Linked DNA regions of Neodiprion lecontei. The protein of the gene in region 3 interacts with the protein of the main gene of each other region in a pairwise test. Links are inferred from orthologs where the notes say so. Each region holds a gene or a part of one and is shown on either strand. Other genes may lie near its edges. The genes, in order: guanine nucleotide-binding protein G(o) subunit alpha, guanine nucleotide-binding protein G(i) subunit alpha and G-protein-signaling modulator 2.

Region 1 (4,967 bases), on a different chromosome or scaffold from region 3:
ACTTCCGCTACAGTCGAATTTAATTCTTCCTTATTTTCGACTCCCATCTTACTACGTATAACATATACATATGTACGTAGGTATAATCCTCACCGCACGTATTATACCGCATTATATACCTACATCGCTGCGGAAGAGATGCGTTAATTTAAATTTGACCCGAAATTTCCGGACTTCAGAGACCGTTATACACGTATCTTGCCCCGCTTCGTTAAATACTGTACATACATGCACGTAACATGTGTGCATTTGAAATTTATCTACCTCGTACGTTGCTTTCGTTTCTTTTGGTTTTTTTCTAACCGCTTAACAATTATTCAAGACTCGTTACGCGAACGTCAGCGATTCTCTTGTAAGAACGCGAGATACGATTCTCGCAGTTGATAACACACATGCCATTAAATTCACGAGGATGAACCCTAGCATCCAGAATCCACAGCGAAACGTTCTAATGTTCATTCGAATAAGGTAGCGAAGACCGATAGTCAAAATTTCGTGAAAAAACCTTGAACCTCCGATACTTTTATAGAATTAAGAGGATGAAACTAAAATGCATTTTTCCATTTCCAAAAAGTTTAACTCTGGCTGCTAGCTTCAGCTTCTTCTTGAATAAATCGTGAATGAAACAATCCATTTCGAACGGAATCTAATCGATAATAACGAGATTCTAATCGAAATCAAACTCGAGTTAAATTTTCTTTCGTGCTCCCTAACGTGCCTTATTATTGTAATTAATATACCTACGTAAAAAGAAAGGCGTGACGAAAGTAGCAGGAAAAAAAAGTCGTCGAAAGAACACGCAACGTCGGGCATGCAGCAGCTTGAACGAGGAACAATTCGTTTTTCACGAAGTTAAAAAATCGACCGCCGAGGTTTTCCTTCATTACACATTTGAATCTCGGAGGCGGCGTACAACAACGGTACGAAACGTATATACATACTTGTGTCGGACATGTACGCACGGGGGTGGGTATTTATTTTAAGAAATATGAGCGTGTATGTAGCAGCGAACTCGAAAGCTGCCGCAGAGGCGGACCCGATCTCCGGATTCTCCGGCAGGCACTTATTCATCATGCTTCATTGGTGGGGGTCGCCGGCTGCCGATGGATACAGCAGTGAAAAGCAGCGGCAACTCTGCGAAGAGCGAACCAGCAAACTAGCGATTCTCCGTTTCGTTCCCGGTCCTGAACGACGAGAGCGGGGCACCGCGGTAAAAATCCCGTTTTAATCTACACCGTATCTATCTACTATCTACCGCAAATAATTACGCACCGACTACGCGGCGCCGCGTCGACGTCCTTTCATTGTCGGTTTTCCTCTACTTGTTCGCGCGAATCCGCAGATCGAATACAAAATTGTTAACGAGGATGTAACCGCGTTGCGCGACATCTACATCTTCACAATAAACTGCATGCTCTGTTCTTATGCATCGTATTACAGATCTATGCAACCTATGCTCTTCGAATAGTTATTTTCAAATTTGAATTTCGAACGTTCGACCGCGGCTTGCTTCGAGCCAAACGTCAACAGCAGACGATCGTTCTCGCGCTTCGTTCGCTCAACGACGATTACGATTCGCTACGCTTTTCGAATACTTGTTTCCAAATTTGAATTTCGAACGTTCGACCGCGGCTAGCTTCGAGCGGAACAGCAACAGCAGACGATCCTCCTCGCGCTTCATTCGCTCAACGACAATACTGGTTCGCCGAAATATCGCCCCGAAATTCACACTGGGTCTGCTCGGAGCACGTGAAGGCGTGCACATCGAAGGTACCTGCGAGCTATTGACTCCGAGTCCCGAGCGGGCGCGAACGGGAAACGAGACGCGGGGACGGAAAGACGGTGATAAGCCGACATCGCGAGGGATCGAGCAGCGGCGGTGGCACTGCACGCACCCTCCTACGCACGCCACCAGCGAAGCGGCGGCCGCAAAGCAATTGACTCGCCTCTCTCCCCCGTCCGAGGAGCGGAACGCCGCCCGCGTTTGATTGGAGTGCCATATTCGAGCCTAGGGAGTCGGCGGCGGTTGTTTCCCTTATTTTTTCATTTTCATTTTCTCTCTCTCTCTCGCTCTCTCCCTCTGTCTCTTTCCCTCTCTCTCTCTACCCTTTTCGTCATCACTTACTTTCGAAGCCACCCCGCGAACTCGGAGACCGATGAAACGGCTTCCTCCTCGCACGTCTCCTGCTTCCTATGTCCAAGGGTGGTTAAACCGCGCCGTTGCAGCACCGCGGAACTCGGACATTCATACACCCTGGACTTTCGACTCCGTCGGATCGCCTGGCTGCCTCTGCCTTTAATCGTATCACACTGCCTTTGCGGGTCGTTAACTCCCTGCTTTATTCTCGAATGATGGATTTTGAATTTCGATTATTATCCCCGTAACGATGCGTTCTCGCTTGTATTGTACCGTTTTTTTTTTTTTTTTTTGCCGATAATTATATCACCGTGATATCGCGACGAGAGAATTATTGGGGATTTTTTTTCGCGCACTCCCGGTCACTTGTATTTTCCGATACTATGTATTTGATCGATAATTTGAGAATCGTAAGCCCCGGCACAGCCCCGTCTCTCAGGAGGTGGGTTGGTACTTTTTACACAATCCAAACGGGGGGTATACGCTCTGCCGTTTCTCCTTACGCGTTTTTTGAAAAAAAAATTTTTATTTTTTTTATATGTATATATATACTCTGAATCGTTCACCGGCGACGCGCGGTCACTTCTATTTTTCTTCCAAAACTACGAGTTGATATCACTTCTCCCTCTGGCTCTCTATTCTCTCTGGATCTACTCCGCCACCTCTTCGCCGTTTGATTGATGCATAAACACTCCCGAATACTCTTCCGTTTATATATCGTCCCGCGCGATTCGTCCACCTTTCTTAGGTGCCTTCTTCGCTTTCTAACAGCGAAATCGAGCTACGCCCGGGCTGTGCCTTCGTCGTGACTCTAGCTCTCCTCCCCCTGCGGGAACGCGATACAAATTTTTCTAAAACCGATCGAAAAACGTCTTTTGACAGCGGCAGGCTGGACGCGTACTGGCAGCTACCTCGACGCCAGCGACCTCTCGCCCCGCCCGAACCTTCGCTCGCTGCTGGGGACGAGCCGGCCGCCCGATCAATCCCACGCACCAGCCCACGGGCCCCGCGTCTAGGCAGAGGACCGAGATCCTGTTTGCTGGAGATTCAAACTACAGCCTGGCGACATCTGGCGTCGCTTGCCCGAACCAACGGTCGCCACTTCGCTCGGCCGGTAACGACGAGAGTTACGGTACTGAAATACTGCCGGAAAGATAGGACGCGAAGATTTGAAACGGGGCGGGGGGAAGGCTGACTGCTGGAATTTTTAAGACTTTTGATTGCTTGCTTTCAAATTATATCCGTCTTGGCAGACGAGTAAAGTATTAGTTGGTATGCTTCTTCGAAGGAAAACAAAATTTGCGTTATTTTTAAATAACGCAATAAAAAATATCGTTGTTCAACGAAACGTGTCACGAATTGTCTTCTTTTGCAACTTGATTATGGAGGCTGTATGCATACATCTCAAATCCTAAATTGCTGTGAGGGATATACGTGGTAGAACGAAACGATTCACGTTTGGCAAAATGCCAATATTCATTCACAAAGTTGAAACTCATTGTCGAGAATTATTCAAATATTCAGTCTTAACGGTGAATATATAGACATATATATATATACGTATGTACACCACAGTATCCGGTGATAGTTTGTTTTTGTGTGTATACTATCGCTTCTTGGCATGACATCGTGATGTATTTCTTATTTTATTCTATCATTAATTACTTAAATTTCTTATTTCTTTCGCGGCTGAATACGAGAACTTTTTACTGCGTTCAATGAACGTGTAATAATGCAACGACGATCCCGAATCTTAGTTATGTACAAAAGAAAAACCTGCGACTTATCTCGTTGTAAACTGATCAAATTTACAGTTCAATAAAACCTGAATTTAATTATTCATTCATTTATTTCCGTTTACACACGGGTAAAAATTATGCCACGATATAATAATGTATCAACCTATTAAAATTCTACATGTATGCCGTGCATGTGATATTCTGCCTGACAGACCTTGATCAACACTTGCTATTTTGCACGAACGTACTTAATCTCCTCCACCTCCGCCTCCTCCTTCTCCTCTTCCTCCACTTCCTTCTTCTCGCCGAACTTTTGTAACGTACAACGTGTGTGTGTGTGTGTGTGAGTATAAATAGCAAGATCTTTTATACAATTGCCTAATAAATAATAGTTGGCGTATCAAAGTAACGACCGCTTGCAGTATAAAGATCGTATATGTGTAAAGTTTGGATTCAAAATGAAAAGAATATTGGAAGCTGCACGGTTTGATCAAGGCTGTATAATTCGAATTGTAGATGGTAAATAAGAGAGAGAAATAGAAAAATACGAAATACAAAATTATCAAGCCTAAAGTAACGCCAGTGAATATGTGAAATTACGGATGCGGAGATAATTGAAACAGAGTTTCATAGTTTTTACATAATAATTTGATTATCGCAGACTCATGTACTGTATACGTATAATATATTTATGAATTTTTGTATGCATAGGCGAATCAGTATATGTATAGAATATATATATATGTATATATTATTGCAATATATGCGCTTTTTTCCACTGTACTTTATTGAAAATAATATATATATATTTATTATTAATATTTATATATATATATTATTTATTATGTATCTATGTATATATTTTGGTTATTATCAAACAACACATGACATTCCTGATATCATATTTACATCGAGTGTCTATTACAATTACTCAGTTTAATGTATTATCATATCGTACAATAGATATTATTACATAGTTATAGGTCATTTAAAAATTTGTGAAATATGTTAAAAGTGCCCAACTCTACATGTCGTATAAGGTGTGTATATATATATATATATATATATATATATATATATTATATATTATA
Region 2 (6,803 bases), on a different chromosome or scaffold from region 3:
ATGGGTTCATCTAACGGTGTCCTCAATTGAGAGGAATTGAGATATAAGTGAACTTGAGGGGTCGTGTTAGGTCTATGTATGCCAGAGCTACGATTCAATGAATGAAGAAACATCGTTTTTTTACCATTTTTACACATTCGATTATTGCGGCGAAAATGATGACCATTGAATTAAATAATCAATTCGGAACAATATGTATTTATCACTATCGTGGCTAATCAATCGCAATCTAGATGAAATTTTTTTTGAAATAGCTGTGTTCAACATTATCAACGATTTAAAACAGATTACAATGTCGTTAAAATGAAATTTAAATTCGTTACGCAGACTAAAATAAATTACGCAATCGATTCGCGATATCCTTATTTAGTGTATAGAGACTGTATATCTCCGGAACAAATTCATACTGTTCATTTCCATTCAATTCAAGGTTACTCGCTCAAGAATTTCCATCATTGTCAATCTCTGTCGACCTAGTTTTCTACCCAGCTTTCCATACTGGATATTTTACTAAACTGCTCGAAGTAAAATAATTGACACATTCGAACGGCAGAGACTTGAGTTTTCCTTTCGATTGTTTCATTTTGATAAAAAAAAAAACTCAACCGATGCAGCAGTTCTAATTTCAGGTTTACTATAAATGTATTGCATAATAGAATCGGACGCTTCTTTCAATGTCATGTAACATAAGGAGACGCAAGGCTACAGAGCGATTGGAACTGGGACTAAAAAAAAAGTGTCTTGAGAAAAATCCGGTCCAACGAACGGAATAACTATGCATAAATGAATGACAACGTGCTCTGTTGTAACCCAAGATATACCTACAGACGCTTGCCAATTTGGTAAATTGCTATTTTGACGACAGAACAACGAGCATCCTTACACGGGACGCTGATTTTAATCCTGTCAATATAACGAGTGCAAAATTATTGTAATAGGTTGCCGTCATTAAAGTTCTGTGCTGCGTTTTAAATATTGATACAATCACGAGAATTTGTACGTATTAACCGCCACAAAAAGCAGGTTTATGAATATGGAATACAACATTCTACGGACTATTTTAATGTTGAAACTTAAAATAACTTCAGTATGAATGCGAGTTTTTTTTTTAATATTTGTAATTGAATACAAGACATAACTCATCATTTTATGATTAATGACACCGCTATTTGAATTTTATGCACTTTTATACGGTGTCAGTTTGCACCAGGAATGTAAGTTTTTCAGCCCGCTAGATAGATTGCTCGTGGGACTGATGGGTGAACTGTAATACTGACATTTCGTGAAAAATATAAAATGCAATTTTCTAAATGTATTTAAAAGTAAATCAAATCGTTTCAATTCATTGACATTTTTTCATCTTTGAATAAAGAAATTTTATTCTTTGTCTCGAGTAATTTCCTCATTAAACAGAGGTATCTTTTCAACGTTTAATTAACGCGATGATGAAAGAACGTGGCATTCCAATTGGCTACCCACCGTGTAGCTTCACTTTCATGAAGCGACTACGCGCATGACTGTACTTTTTTAAATAGATAAACAAGAACTCGAAATTAACGGTAATACACAATTGTAATGCAACTGGCCACCGTTCTTCAACGAATGGTAAACTTTTGAAAACAATTTCGGAGCGAAACTAATTGGTAGCACTAAAAACTCTCTAGTACAGAGGCAGAGCTAGTCACGAACTCGGTTGTGCAAAAGAGATAAAGGATTGTTGACAAGACTGGGAATAAATTTCGGAACGCAACCTTAGGCAAGAAAAAAGATCTTAAAACAAATAGACGTGGAGGAAGCCTGGTATACCCTTTCGTGTAAGTGGAAAACGGCATGGAGAGGGTAGTGGTAAGACTAGTTCCCTTCTTTGTCTAACGCAGTTATAGAGAGATAGTAGAGAGAGAGAGTATCTGGTCTTAGTACGTCCCTCTCTCTCTACGGCTCGACACTCTCTCGGCATGATAAAACGGGTGCTGATTATATAAATGTCCGCCACGCGTTAAAATAGCGCTAGAATCGTTGAGTACAAAATGTCGAGTTGGTAACCCGTCTAGATCTTTCTTACACATCCAATGCTTGTCGAGTCTAAAATGGAGCGCGTCGGCGCATAGTTGCGTGATAAGTCATTGGTGTGGGCGCGTCAAATGTTTTAAACATAAAGTCGAGCAGCAGACCCGTGTAGTATTCGTGTTAAATAATGAACAATAATTTGTGGAATAAAAGAGGCGAGGGGGTGGACGGTGAGCTGTAATAGATGTTTATTGGGGAATCGGTAAACCCGGACTGCGACCAAGCCGTCGTATGTGCGGATATACGTGTGTAATAGGAGTTCGGTCGGTACTTGGGGCCTCCGTCTTCTGTCGTTGGCTGCACTCGGTGCACGGGGCGGGCGGTTCCCACACGCAATACAAGGCGAAGCAACAAGTGTCACCCGGAGTTTGATTCGACCGATATACGATTTGCGGCGCCGATCTTATCCTGGCCGATTTCACGCAGACCTTACTTCTGCCAGGCGTTCCAGTCACTCGAAACGAGGACTATTTGAACGATTTATTGAACGTGATATAGCAAAGAATCGAAAAATGGGATGCGCCGTTAGCACTACCGGCGACAAGGAGGCTGCCGAGAGGTCTAAGAAAATTGACAAAGATCTCAGAATGGATGGCGAACGCGCTGCCAGCGAGGTCAAACTCCTGCTTCTTGGTAAATTATCATCTAAACACAAAATAACGATGTGTTGAACTAAATTTTATGCAAGTTTCTCTTCGTTCCGCGGCTCGTCGCTATCGCGTCCGAGACCCGTTCATCGTTTTTTCCGTCGTTCCGCGATTCGCGGACATGAAAAAACAAAAGAGAAACGAAACAAAAACGGACGAACTGTGCGTAAATACTGCTTGTTTTCGCACGCTTAATTTTTACACATCCCGTGCAAATTGCTAACGTGTTACCATTTACTTTTTGTTTCTTCTCGGTTTGTTTGATAGCGTTTTATCTCTCCTCGTTTACTGAGAACGGGACTAACGCGACCATGTTCTCTTAATTGAAATGGTAAAAACAGCCAATTAACGTATGATTCAATGGTATAATTAAGGCCGCGATGAATCCGGCCGTCAAAACGATGCGAAAAATTATTCTTTCATCTTTGTTTACCCCATTTCTTCTTATCGTAACTCGTCGTTCTTCTAAATTACCTTCTCTTACACTATATTGTCAAATTGAATTTACCAAAAATTATTATTATTATTAGAAATTGACCTAACTGAGGTTTTTTCACCACTGGTCATTACACAAATGGGTTTAGAACTTTTCTAATTTCTCTCATCTTATTTCTCATGGCAATGAGATGAGATAGCAAAAAACATCCTATCCTCCTTAATGCTACACAGGATATTGCAATGCATGTATCCACACAGCATGGTTGATTGTAGTAAAATAGCTGATTGATGTCTGCCTGTATACACATGGCTTCTCGTCACTAGATGATTCAGCTGAGGGAAGGGAACACTCATGGATTTCACAATTATTAAATTTCACTATTATCTTATCTCATGGAAAGCTGGTGGTGACATATTATTTCAATTATGAGCTGAGAAGAATTATGATTAATATGTTGAAATACCTGACGAATTATGTTTGCAACAAAAAAAAAAAAATTTTCAATGACCAAAACTTCAATTAATGTTCCTAAGCTACAAGAAACATGTGACAATTTTTTTTTCCCCCCGATCTATTTCAAGGTAATTTTTACAACAATTCATTTCATTTTTATTCCAAGGTGCTGGAGAGTCCGGAAAATCGACGATCGTTAAACAGATGAGAATCATTCATGAAACCGGGTACAGTAAAGAAGAATGCGAAGAGTATAAACCGGTTGTTTATAGCAATACTATACAGAGTCTGATGACAATTATCAGAGCCATGGGTCAGCTAAGAATTGATTTTGCAGACCCAAATAAGGTGGTGCGTAAATTTTTCGAAAGCAACATGTAAACGTGTTTTAATGACTGAAAGTTAATATTATTTTCCACTCCAATTTTCGTTAAATGAATTACTCTACTGTTAAAAATGATCAAAATTGTTCAAATTGCATCCCGGGATCTTTTATCTGATGAAAAATAAACTTTTGCTAATATTTATGGTATTCATGCATTAATAAATTCGTCACCTTCTAGGATATTGCTAGGCAATTTTTCACTCTAGCATCGGCAGCAGAGGAGGGTGACCTGACGGGAGAGCTAGTTTTATTAATGAAGAGATTATGGCAGGACGCAGGAGTACAACTTTGTTTCACACGTAGTAGAGAATATCAGCTCAATGATTCGGCGGCATATTACCTCAATGCTCTTGATCGCATTGCCCAACCCCATTACATACCGACACAACAGGATGTTCTCAGGACCAGAGTCAAAACGACAGGAATCGTTGAAACGGAGTTTTCGTTTAAAGGGATTGACTTCAAGTGAGTTCTTCAATCTTTCAAACATCATATTAATATCAATTTTTGTCTCTAGCACTGCCATGAATATGTCGCCACAGCCCAATATTGAATTATCTATGGTCAATCCAAGTTCTCGGGAATTACTTTCTTATTCTCTTTCCAGAATGTTTGATGTTGGTGGACAAAGATCAGAACGTAAAAAATGGATTCACTGCTTCGAGGGGGTAACAGCGATAATATTCTGCGTTGCACTGAGTGGTTACGATTTAGTCTTGGCCGAGGATGAGGAGATGAACAGGATGATAGAATCAATGAAGTTGTTCGATTCGATATGTAACAGTAAATGGTTTGTCGATACGTCGATAATTCTGTTTTTAAACAAGAAAGATCTGTTTGAGGATAAAATAACGAGGAGCCCTTTGACCATATGCTTTCCTGAATATAAAGGGCCGAATACATACGAAGATTGCGCATCATACATTCAAATGAAATTTGAAAACTTGAACAAAAGAAAAGACCGTAAAAAAATATACACGCACTTCACATGTGCGACTGACACCAATAACATTCAATTCGTATTTGATGCTGTGACTGATGTTATAATTAAGAACAACTTGAGTAACTGCGGCTTATTATTAAGCTGAACAATTTCAGAATCCGTCGATGATGCCGATTAAATCAAAACATTCTGAATCCGCGACACGTCTATAATTTTCACCTCTAATACTGGTTATTAATGGTTGATAAATCGAGGGCGTTCATCAGTTTGGAATGCTTTAAAAACTCGTGCGAATTGTCTGTCCGGATCAAAAATATAAATTTTTCACCAAATCTCATCAGGCATTTAGTTTTTAGACATTAGGTGTTTAATTAAAATCTTCATTCCTAGTACGCGATACTTAATCAAAATGAATCTAATTTAAATCATAATCCACGTTTGATAGAAAAAACTATTTTTTTTTTTTTTTTCGAAACGCACGTTTTTACCGCACAGAATCTCCGCGCAAAACTCGTCTTTATAGTTTATAGAAAATCATAGCATGGCACTTTTCTAATGTTTCTTTTTTTTATACTTTGTATATTAGAAGTAAATTAGCTTTATTGCGCATAATATACTCGATATATCGTTTTAATAACAAACTATAACACGGTCGTCTTTTGTCAGTTTCTGAACACCAATTTTTAATGTCTGGAATTATTAATCAAAAATTGATGAGATCGTAGGGTGCTTAAAAAGACTGTGTATTCAGTATTTCATTTTTTGTTTCTACTTTTAAATTGGAAGATTTCATTATTCTATTTCGGCCAAAAATAACACGACAGAGAGAAAGCGTCGTAAAACCCGAAACTTCTCGCGAAAATTTTAATAAAAATATTTAAACGTCATTGAAAAAATGTATAAAAGTTTTACTCAATTGAAAGAAAACTATGTTTCCTCAAATTGAATATAAAAACAAGCGATTTTAAACAACAATTTATCATTGTTTAACTGGAAATTGACAACGTGCCTTTTTTTCGCTTCATCGTACAAGTTTCTATGATTTTTTCGATGATGTTTGATGAAATTCATCGCCGTAAGCCAGATTGCAAGAAGATAAAACCAATATTAGACTAGATATATGAAACTTTTTTTAAACACCCTAGATGTATGTATGTCTTTTAAGTAGCTCCAGCAAATTTGGTTTTGTTCCGATCGTGTTGTAGTTTAAAAAATAGTCTGAAACAATCGTCTCTGTATATAATTTATTATAGTGGAAGAAGAAAGAAAAATGAAAGAAAATGTTGCAAAAAAAAAAAGAAAAAGAGAAAGAGAAAGAATCTACTGGAATCTCAAATCTAGTACCTAAAATCTCTAAAATGGACCAATTTGTGTGTTAGTTAATAATAATAACAATAATAATAATATCTGGTTTAATTCATGAATTCCAGTTTCGTCTATTATGAAAATAGATTTGTTTTCGAAGTATTTTTTTACGTGTACAGTTACGTGTATGTTTGTTTGTTCGTTTTTTTTTTGTTTCTCATGCAATAACAAAATATGTGTACTTCATAATTCACGGTAATAACAACAATAATCAATATTACTGTTGGACCTTTCTAGCTGTATATTCGCGTTGTCCGAGAAGTACGACATTCCATTCCATTCTATTTCATTTGCACGATCTGATTGTTGAACTACAGGCTACCAAGCAATCCCTTCATCTTTAATTTTCAAAACACTGGATACTGTTTTCATGAAATCAGATAAACCATATTTAAAATGTCATCTTGTCGATATTTTGCATGGGGTTTAGATTGACTATTTAACGTTGTTGGAAAGAGAAGTGAAATTGAACAACTTTTTTCTAGCAGCCCTATGCTTTTTTCA
Region 3 (7,797 bases):
AGCTCACGGTGACGAAACCTTTTACATCTTTGCACCTGAACCGCAGTTTGCCAGACTAAATTTGAACAAAACCACGACCAGAAGAGATTTGGAAATCGTAGACATCATGGTTCAGTTGTGGACCTCCTTTGCAACCAATGGGTAAACCGTTACTAATCAGTAAATTGCTATTATTTCACTAATTTAATTGGCAAAGTGTGTTAAAGAATTGATTTTTCAGAACACCGACGACTTTGGCTTCAAACGGCACAATATGGAAACCATTTTCGGCTGTAGAGAGAAACTATCTTCAAATAGGAAACGGATCTGAAGTTTCGCTCAAAGTTCAGCATTCTTTCTTTGAGGAGCGAATGAAATTTTGGGCTACCTTAAAAGAAACTCCAAAGACCTTAACTGTCCTATCAAACGGCTCAAATGCCATAACATCCAAATTTTATTCATTATTCGTACTTATGTTATCTTTTTCAAAGATATTTTTGTAACAGCGATGAAGAAATGGATAAAAAAATGGAGTCTTTGGCAGACAACTGAAATATAAACCTCAGTATAATCAGTATTAAATAAATAGTAGAGTCACGACGAAAGGGGGATGTTCGTTAGTTTTATTCCATCTTGTGATATTTCCAACAGTTATGTGAATCTTCTGATTAAAAAATGCTGACACTCACGCCCATTTTCTCCGATACAGTTTGAACGGCGTTCAATTTCTTCTGTAAGGCTTGGAGCTAGGCTGAACTTAGTTTAAACTTCGATTACCGTTGCAGGATTCGGATCTTTTTAGAGTTGGGTTAGCTAGCACTAGTATGGAATAATCATAAGCAATAAGCATGGATATGGTCATTCCAGTCAGATCTTACATCCTATGCATACTGAGTGCGATTTTTCTAGAATTTTTCTTCTGCTATTGGTTAAAAACTAGAGAAAGCGCAGTTGTTGCGACGATTATACAACCGTGGTCGTTGCGCTCCGTGTGCAACCAGTGAAAAGCGCTTACTACTAGAGAGTTACTACGTTTACGTACGATCGTTTCACACATTATGCGTTGATTATATGTATAATTTGTACCATGCTTATGCACACCACTAATAATCTGTACATTGTATAAACGGCGCATGATGCTTTAATAAAATTAAACAAAATTATTAAACTGTACAAGTTAAACACACTAAAAGTGCAGGAAGGATGGGTAAACTTAGTGAATTATAATATGTTTTTGCTGTTCGACGTGAAACATCATTTCTGAACCTCAAATAGTTTATATTAAGGGTGCGTTCAGAAACTAGGTGGCAGTGCTAAGAACTCCCTAGGACAAGGACAGAGCTACTCCCCAACGCGAAAGCGCAAAAGCGATAAAAGATGATTAACACTTGGAGCCAATTTCGGAACACAACCTGTAATTCAGTCAGTGCATTGCATACGAGACTCAGGGTGCGTTCCGATATTACCTTCCATTGCTGTTAACAATATTTTATTTTTTTTGCATTGTCGAGTTCATCAGTAGCTCTGCCTTTGTCCTAGGGAACTGTTAGCGCTGCCACCCAATTTCGGAACGCACCCCTGTATACAACGTGAACACCACGAATACGACCGTTTGCATTCAGAGCCGTCTGGTTACAGTGATGCGTACTACAAGCCGGCCCCAAACCCCCCAAACTAAATTGAATAGGAAATTGTACGCGAAGTCGCAAACGCGCCATAGTGTCGATGCGCGGTTAGGGTGACGCGTTGATATCCGTGTGAATTTGCCGTAAACAAGTGAGAGTGTTGGTATAACAATAAATAATTTTTATTTACCGCAACAACTAATAGATAATTTCCAAAAAAAATGCTAAACTGTATTGATTCGACCTTTCTAATTGACGATCTATTGACGAAGGGGAGTGCCTCGTACACGTAAAGCTTAGCTCACGTCAAATTACACTTAACAATTCGTCGCCAGATAACAAATTGTTTATTCTTACCTTCAAAAATCCTTATAACCTGCTAGTACTCGACCAATGAAAATGTCGCACAGTGCGAGCGCGGAAAATCTTTCAGTAGACGGTCAAGTAAGTGAATCACATGTCCTTTTCTACCTCATTATTTGTCACTTGTCACTTAAATTCTTCAGTATATATATATATATATATGAGCCTTACCTACGTGCACTGAGTCATATGGGCATTTATTATGCTGTTCACAGAGAATTCTTTCCCACTTGTCATAGGATACACTGCCTTCCTAATCCTCTTACATTTTGCATTTTTCTCAAAATGAAAATTAAACTTCACCTCTTATTCCTGCAAAAAATTAATATAATCAAGTACTTTACTATTTTTTTTTGTTTATTCACTTGTTATTAACGGTAACTAAACTTAATCTCCCTCATCATGCGTCTCGTTACATTATTCTAGTCAAAATAACTCTGAACCCCAATTTGACTTACGTAACAATTTGATTTTCAATTAGAGAACGATACCCTATTTATGTTCGTTACAATAAGCTGGATTATGAGATTTACAGGAACAATATTGCTGTTCTACTAAACAATTTCAAGTGAAGCAAAATTGCCATATACTCTATATCCTCAATAAATTGGTAAAAATAGAGTAAATGCAGAAGAATACCTTGTAACTCGCGTTTAATCGTTGCTTTTAATACTTTACCAACATTAATTAATTGGCTAAACTATGTAAAAACATAAAACGAGTTTGTCCTTTACAGAATAGCGGGGGAGATAGCAACATGTGTTTGGAATTGGCCCTTGAAGGCGAGCGTCTTTGCAAGGAGGGCGATTGCCGCACAGGTGTTGCATTTTTTCAAGCAGCAATACAGGCTGGAACGGACGACCTAAGAACGTTGAGCGCGATCTACAGCCAACTTGGAAATGCTTACTTTTATCTTGGCGATTACGTCAAAGCAATGCAGTATCACAACCATGATTTAACATTGGCAAGAACTATGGGAGATAAATTAGGGGAAGCTAAATCGAGCGGAAATCTTGGAAATACTCTGAAAGTTATGGGAAAGTTTGACGAAGCTACGATATGCTGTAAAAGGCATTTAGAAATATCGAGGGAACTAGGCGATAAGGTAAGATTTTTTATTCACCTCTGTTCCGCTCTTCCTTCCTCATGCATTCTCATTTTTAATCAAGCATTTTTTATGCATCAGCTCAGCGAAGGTCGAGCTCTTTACAATCTCGGAAATGTTTATCACGCCAAGGGTAAACAAATTGGCAGAGTCGGACAGCAAGATCCAGGAGAATTTCCTGAGGATGTCAGACAGTGTCTTCAGGAAGCTGTTCATTACTACGAGTATGTTACTTTTACATCTATAGAATAGCTTGTCTTCAAATTCAGTAATATTATATACGTACTGGATACCGCGGCTTTTTAATATTTTTTGCTCTGAAATGAATGCGTTGCAGTAGTGGCAACATTTTAGTATCCAATTACCTGATTGAACAATTGTGATTTCCTAGAGAAAATTTGAAGCTGATGAGAGAGTTGAGCGATACAGCTGCACAAGGGAGAGCATGTGGAAACTTGGGAAACACATTTTACTTGCTGGGTGATTTTCAACAAGCAATTCATTACCACAATGAAAGATTAAAAATTGCACGAGAGTTTGGTGATAAAGCTGCGGAAAGACGAGCCAACAGCAATTTGGGGAACTCGCATATATTTCTCGGAGAATTTGAAAAAGCAGCTCAACATTACAAGTAAGTTATCAGCGGGTTGAAGCCGAAGAACTTTGAAATTTTGTTATACCACAGGTTGATAACTCCTGATCCATTTTCAGAGAAACTGCTATTGAACTGTACAAAATTTCTCAAGGTGCGTTACTTCGTTACATGTTAAAATAATTAAAATTCAAAATTTGTTCACAGACGTACGCTGGTCCTTGCTCAAGAATTGCGTGACCGAGCGGTAGAAGCACAAGCGTGTTATTCCCTTGGCAATACCTACACGCTCCTCCGCGATTACCAAGCTGCTGTAGACTACCATCTCCGTCATCTTTCCATTGCGCAACAGCTGATGGATCGAGTTGGAGAAGGTCGAGCCTGTTGGTCGTTGGGAAATGCTTACTCAGCAATGGGTAACCATGAGAAAGCGTTGCACTTTGCCAGCCTACATTTGAATATTTCTAAAGAGTTGAACGATCCAATGGGTCAAGCTACCGCTCAGATGAACGTTACCGATCTGAAGAAACTTTTAGGCTTAGAAAAAGGGGACGGAGAAGCGGAGAGTGGAAACGGAATGCATTTAATCCCAACGAGCAAAGCCTCGGCTATAGCGGCTTCTTCGCCAGGTAGATACAGGTTGAGAAGACAGAGCATGGACAATCTGGATCTGATCAAGGTGAGCGATAGAATGTTTTTGTTCAATGCATCTCTAGACTGCAAATAGTTCTAAAATAACCGAATTTATTGTAATTATTCGGTATTTCCTTGCATATAGTTATTTACAAGGACCATGGAACCGGTAATACTTTCTTCTTTGAACAAAGATTATTGTGTATTAATATGTAGAATAACCAGATAGAAGTAAAACTACCAATTTTCAGTAAACAATACAACGTTCGAAGAGTCTGGTAATATAGAAAATAACTGTCGAAAAACCCCAGTGATTTTTCTTTGCAAGGCAATATCAAGGAAATTTTTTTATGAAAATTTTTCTTTGCACACATTTCACAAATATCATTTTTTCTCCAATCTTGTCCTATCTTGTTGTTCCATTCATTATGCATAGAATCTATAAGGCAACATAAAGTTGAGTATTGAATAACAGAAAGTTATTCAGTAAGAACAGTATCAGTTTTCATTTTAACATTTTATTATAATTTTGAGAAATATCGAATAACCTTGTTAATTAGAGTAATTGACGGTATGGATGGAATAGCTAATTGTAAGTCAATTTAACTATTTTTCCGGTGATCAGTTCAGGAAAAATGTATGGCCCAACTCTATAGGTTGTGTTACTTTACTTCTTGTGACCAGAAAACAAAGGTCACAACAGAATAATATTTTTAGACCATGAAAACATATCGTTCTAAAAATCATCACACGTCAAGCTTTCCTAACAATTCCTGTTAAACCTCTTATTAAACATTAGCATTTTCAAATTTTGTGCAAAGCATCTTCAACTCAAGTAAAACCATTGTCGCAAAAGATTTAAATTGGCTACCTTCAGATTCAGCTCATGTTACAATGCTTATACATTTCAGAAAACGAAGACGTTGATCAACATGTATTATTGACTGAAAATTGATAAATTTTCCCTTTATCCATCATGTATACAATCTGAAGTTATTGTAATTCATTATCCAAATTTTTATCCAGTTGACTCCAGATGGTAAGCAAAAAGATATGGGTGAGCCTCTGCCTGCTAGAGCCGGAATCGCACCACAGCCTTCGCAAGAAGAAGAAGAAGAATCTTTCTTCGAACTTCTATCACGATTTCAATCAGGTCGAATGGATGATCAGCGCTGTGTGCTAAATGCCAATCAAAAACCGAGACCCAGGCCAAGAGTGGCGACTCCAGAAAAAGAGAAAGAAGGAGAAGATTTACTGGAGCTAATAGCTGGAATGCAAAGTAAGCGAATGGATGAGCAGCGTGTAACTCTGCCTTGCTTGCCAGGATTGAATACAAACAGGAACAATCAGTCAGCGAATAGGCCTCCCCCACAGCCAATTGGGCAGGAAGCTGATGATTCATTTATTGAAATGCTGGTGCGATGCCAAGGCTCACGTTTAGAGGATCAACGTAGTCCTTTGCCAGCTGCTTCAACATTACACGATGCAGAGGAGGAACAAAACCAAAGAAGAAACGGAAACACCCCATCAAGAACTACCGTACCCGAAGAAGATCTGTTTGCCCTAATTCAGAGACTGCAGGCTGGTCGCATGGAAGATCAACGAGCTTCTGGACCAGCAAAAGGCCATTAAAACTGTAAGTAAGTATACCAACTATTTGATGAAAATAATAATAAATTAATACTAAGCAATCTTTGAAAAAATAACATTTTGGAAAGGTATCACCACTGTATAATCAACATGAGTAACTACAAATTTTCGGTGTAACCATTTGAATTTTGTAAAAATCAACTCATGGTGATTACAAATGATATGTTCAAAAATGTTACATTTACAATGTAATCAATGGCTAGGTGGTCGATAAAAATTTGTACAATAGATTCTTTATAAGTTCTCGCATGCTAATTTCCTCTCTTTTCACAAAATAGTCAATCGGGTGACTTTTCTTCTACCTACAATTGTGTGGTGCTCCCTAAAGTTTAATTAAAACTCTGTGTCCTGTCCAAATCGCATTTCGACCCTTCAAATAGGATGGTTTGTTTTCTGCCCAACTTTGCTTCTTTGACCACAGTTTGTCACATTAAAAAGAAACATTTTGATATCTTCCATGTTATTTACATCAAAAGGAGATATTTTGTCACAAGGTTATGGTGAAAATTTAGTAAACTAGTGCCGTGAACCAAATATAATACTTTTATGGAAAGCAAAATCAAACGACACTATCAAATTTCTTAAACCACCTAATAATTGATTATTTATCATTGAAATCGTGCCAAAAAAGTATCATGAGACTCTTGGATAAACGGACATATACTGAGATGTAAGTCAGAGTACTGCACAAGAGATTACAATTATCTTTGTGATAGATGTGTATAAAATTGTATAAATGCTGCGACAAAATCTATTAACAGTAAAATATATGTAGAAAACGTTAGAAAAATGTGGAGTAGGATACTGATCGGTTTTGTTGACTTTTTTCAACACCGTTACAATGAATCTTGAATATTTTGTTTCTCATTCACAATCCAAAAGAGTAGTGCATAAGGATTATCATTCAAACATAAAAAATAAAGGTACTACTAGATATGTACCTATATCCAATGCAGGAATCGAATGAACCGAAAGCCATAAAGCTAATATAGTTAAAGTAGTATTATTAATATGAAAAGTAAGTTAATCAATTTATTACTTCTACGTTTTGTCTGTAATAGGTCTCTTTTTTTCTTTTTGTCCCATTTGAGCGTCAGCAAATTTCTTCAACAGCCTAACTCTAGAAATCCAGCTTCTTAATTGTAAAAATATGTATTCGCCCTTGTAATTGGTGGTATGTACATACGTAGTATTATGTACATTCAATGCAGTTTTCCGAATTCATTACTATACTAAATTTCGATTACTTTTCGTTATATTGATTTGAAACATTATATAAAATTCAAACTAACATTTGATGCCACTCCGGATATTACATGATGAAAGCACATGCAAAACAGTAGACATTTGCAGTAATCAGTTATCTTCATAGACAAATCCCATCGGATAGCGTAGTGTTGTCTTGACGGTGCTAAGATCACTAAATAAAATACCATATTACATTTATTATTAATCGTTCCAAAGTACTGATTAAATTTATTCTTCACAGAGAATATATAGTAAAGAATCCTTTTTCGTATTTCGTAATTTTTTTTCGAATGAGGTAGTTTTTCCAACGCATGTATATTTTAATAATTAGGACGCACAATCTACTGTTTGTTGTTATTGCTAAAAATATACTCAGAGATAGTTGTCATTAAAATATTTACAGCCTTGTCGCTAACTTAAGTGGCAAAGAAATTAAATTTGAGAGTAAATCAAATGTGTGTTTCTTCCTTCAGATGAAATTTACTCTCCATGTTAACTGTTTAGCTGTCATTCAACAAGCCAAGTTATAGTATCCAATATGGATTAAATTTTATTGTAAAGCTATGAAATTCATAATGCGAACTATGCATAGACGAAACGAT

What was found.
Region 1: the proteins of G-protein-signaling modulator 2 (region 3) and guanine nucleotide-binding protein G(o) subunit alpha interact in a two-hybrid assay, tested with the Drosophila melanogaster proteins (3 studies listed by BioGRID, with this or other methods). The link is inferred for Neodiprion lecontei from reciprocal best matches to the Drosophila melanogaster genes pins and Galphao.
Region 2: the proteins of G-protein-signaling modulator 2 (region 3) and guanine nucleotide-binding protein G(i) subunit alpha interact in a two-hybrid assay, tested with the Drosophila melanogaster proteins (2 studies listed by BioGRID). The link is inferred for Neodiprion lecontei from reciprocal best matches to the Drosophila melanogaster genes pins and Galphai.

What each region holds. Positions count from the first base shown.
Region 1 is NC_060260.1:39,891,599-39,896,565, forward strand, and holds the start of guanine nucleotide-binding protein G(o) subunit alpha, read right to left. Parts: upstream 3,093-4,967; 5' UTR 2,126-3,092; intron 1-2,125. UniProt on the Drosophila melanogaster protein: Guanine nucleotide-binding proteins (G proteins) are involved as modulators or transducers in various transmembrane signaling systems.
Region 2 is NC_060264.1:31,887,299-31,894,101, reverse strand, and holds guanine nucleotide-binding protein G(i) subunit alpha, read left to right. Parts: upstream 1-2,083; 5' UTR 2,084-2,579; coding exon 2,580-2,700; intron 2,701-3,772; coding exon 3,773-3,957; intron 3,958-4,169; coding exon 4,170-4,456; intron 4,457-4,598; coding exon 4,599-5,079; 3' UTR 5,080-6,298; downstream 6,299-6,803. UniProt on the Drosophila melanogaster protein: Guanine nucleotide-binding proteins (G proteins) are involved as modulators or transducers in various transmembrane signaling systems.
Region 3 is NC_060266.1:5,769,345-5,777,141, reverse strand, and holds the start of G-protein-signaling modulator 2, read left to right. Parts: upstream 1-1,674; 5' UTR 1,675-1,997; coding exon 1,998-2,048; intron 2,049-2,703; coding exon 2,704-3,072; intron 3,073-3,153; coding exon 3,154-3,296; intron 3,297-3,463; coding exon 3,464-3,703; intron 3,704-3,871; coding exon 3,872-4,343; intron 4,344-4,442; coding exon 4,443-4,466; intron 4,467-5,323; coding exon 5,324-5,929; 3' UTR 5,930-7,797. Other genes in the region: esterase E4-like, read left to right, coding at 1-141, 221-482.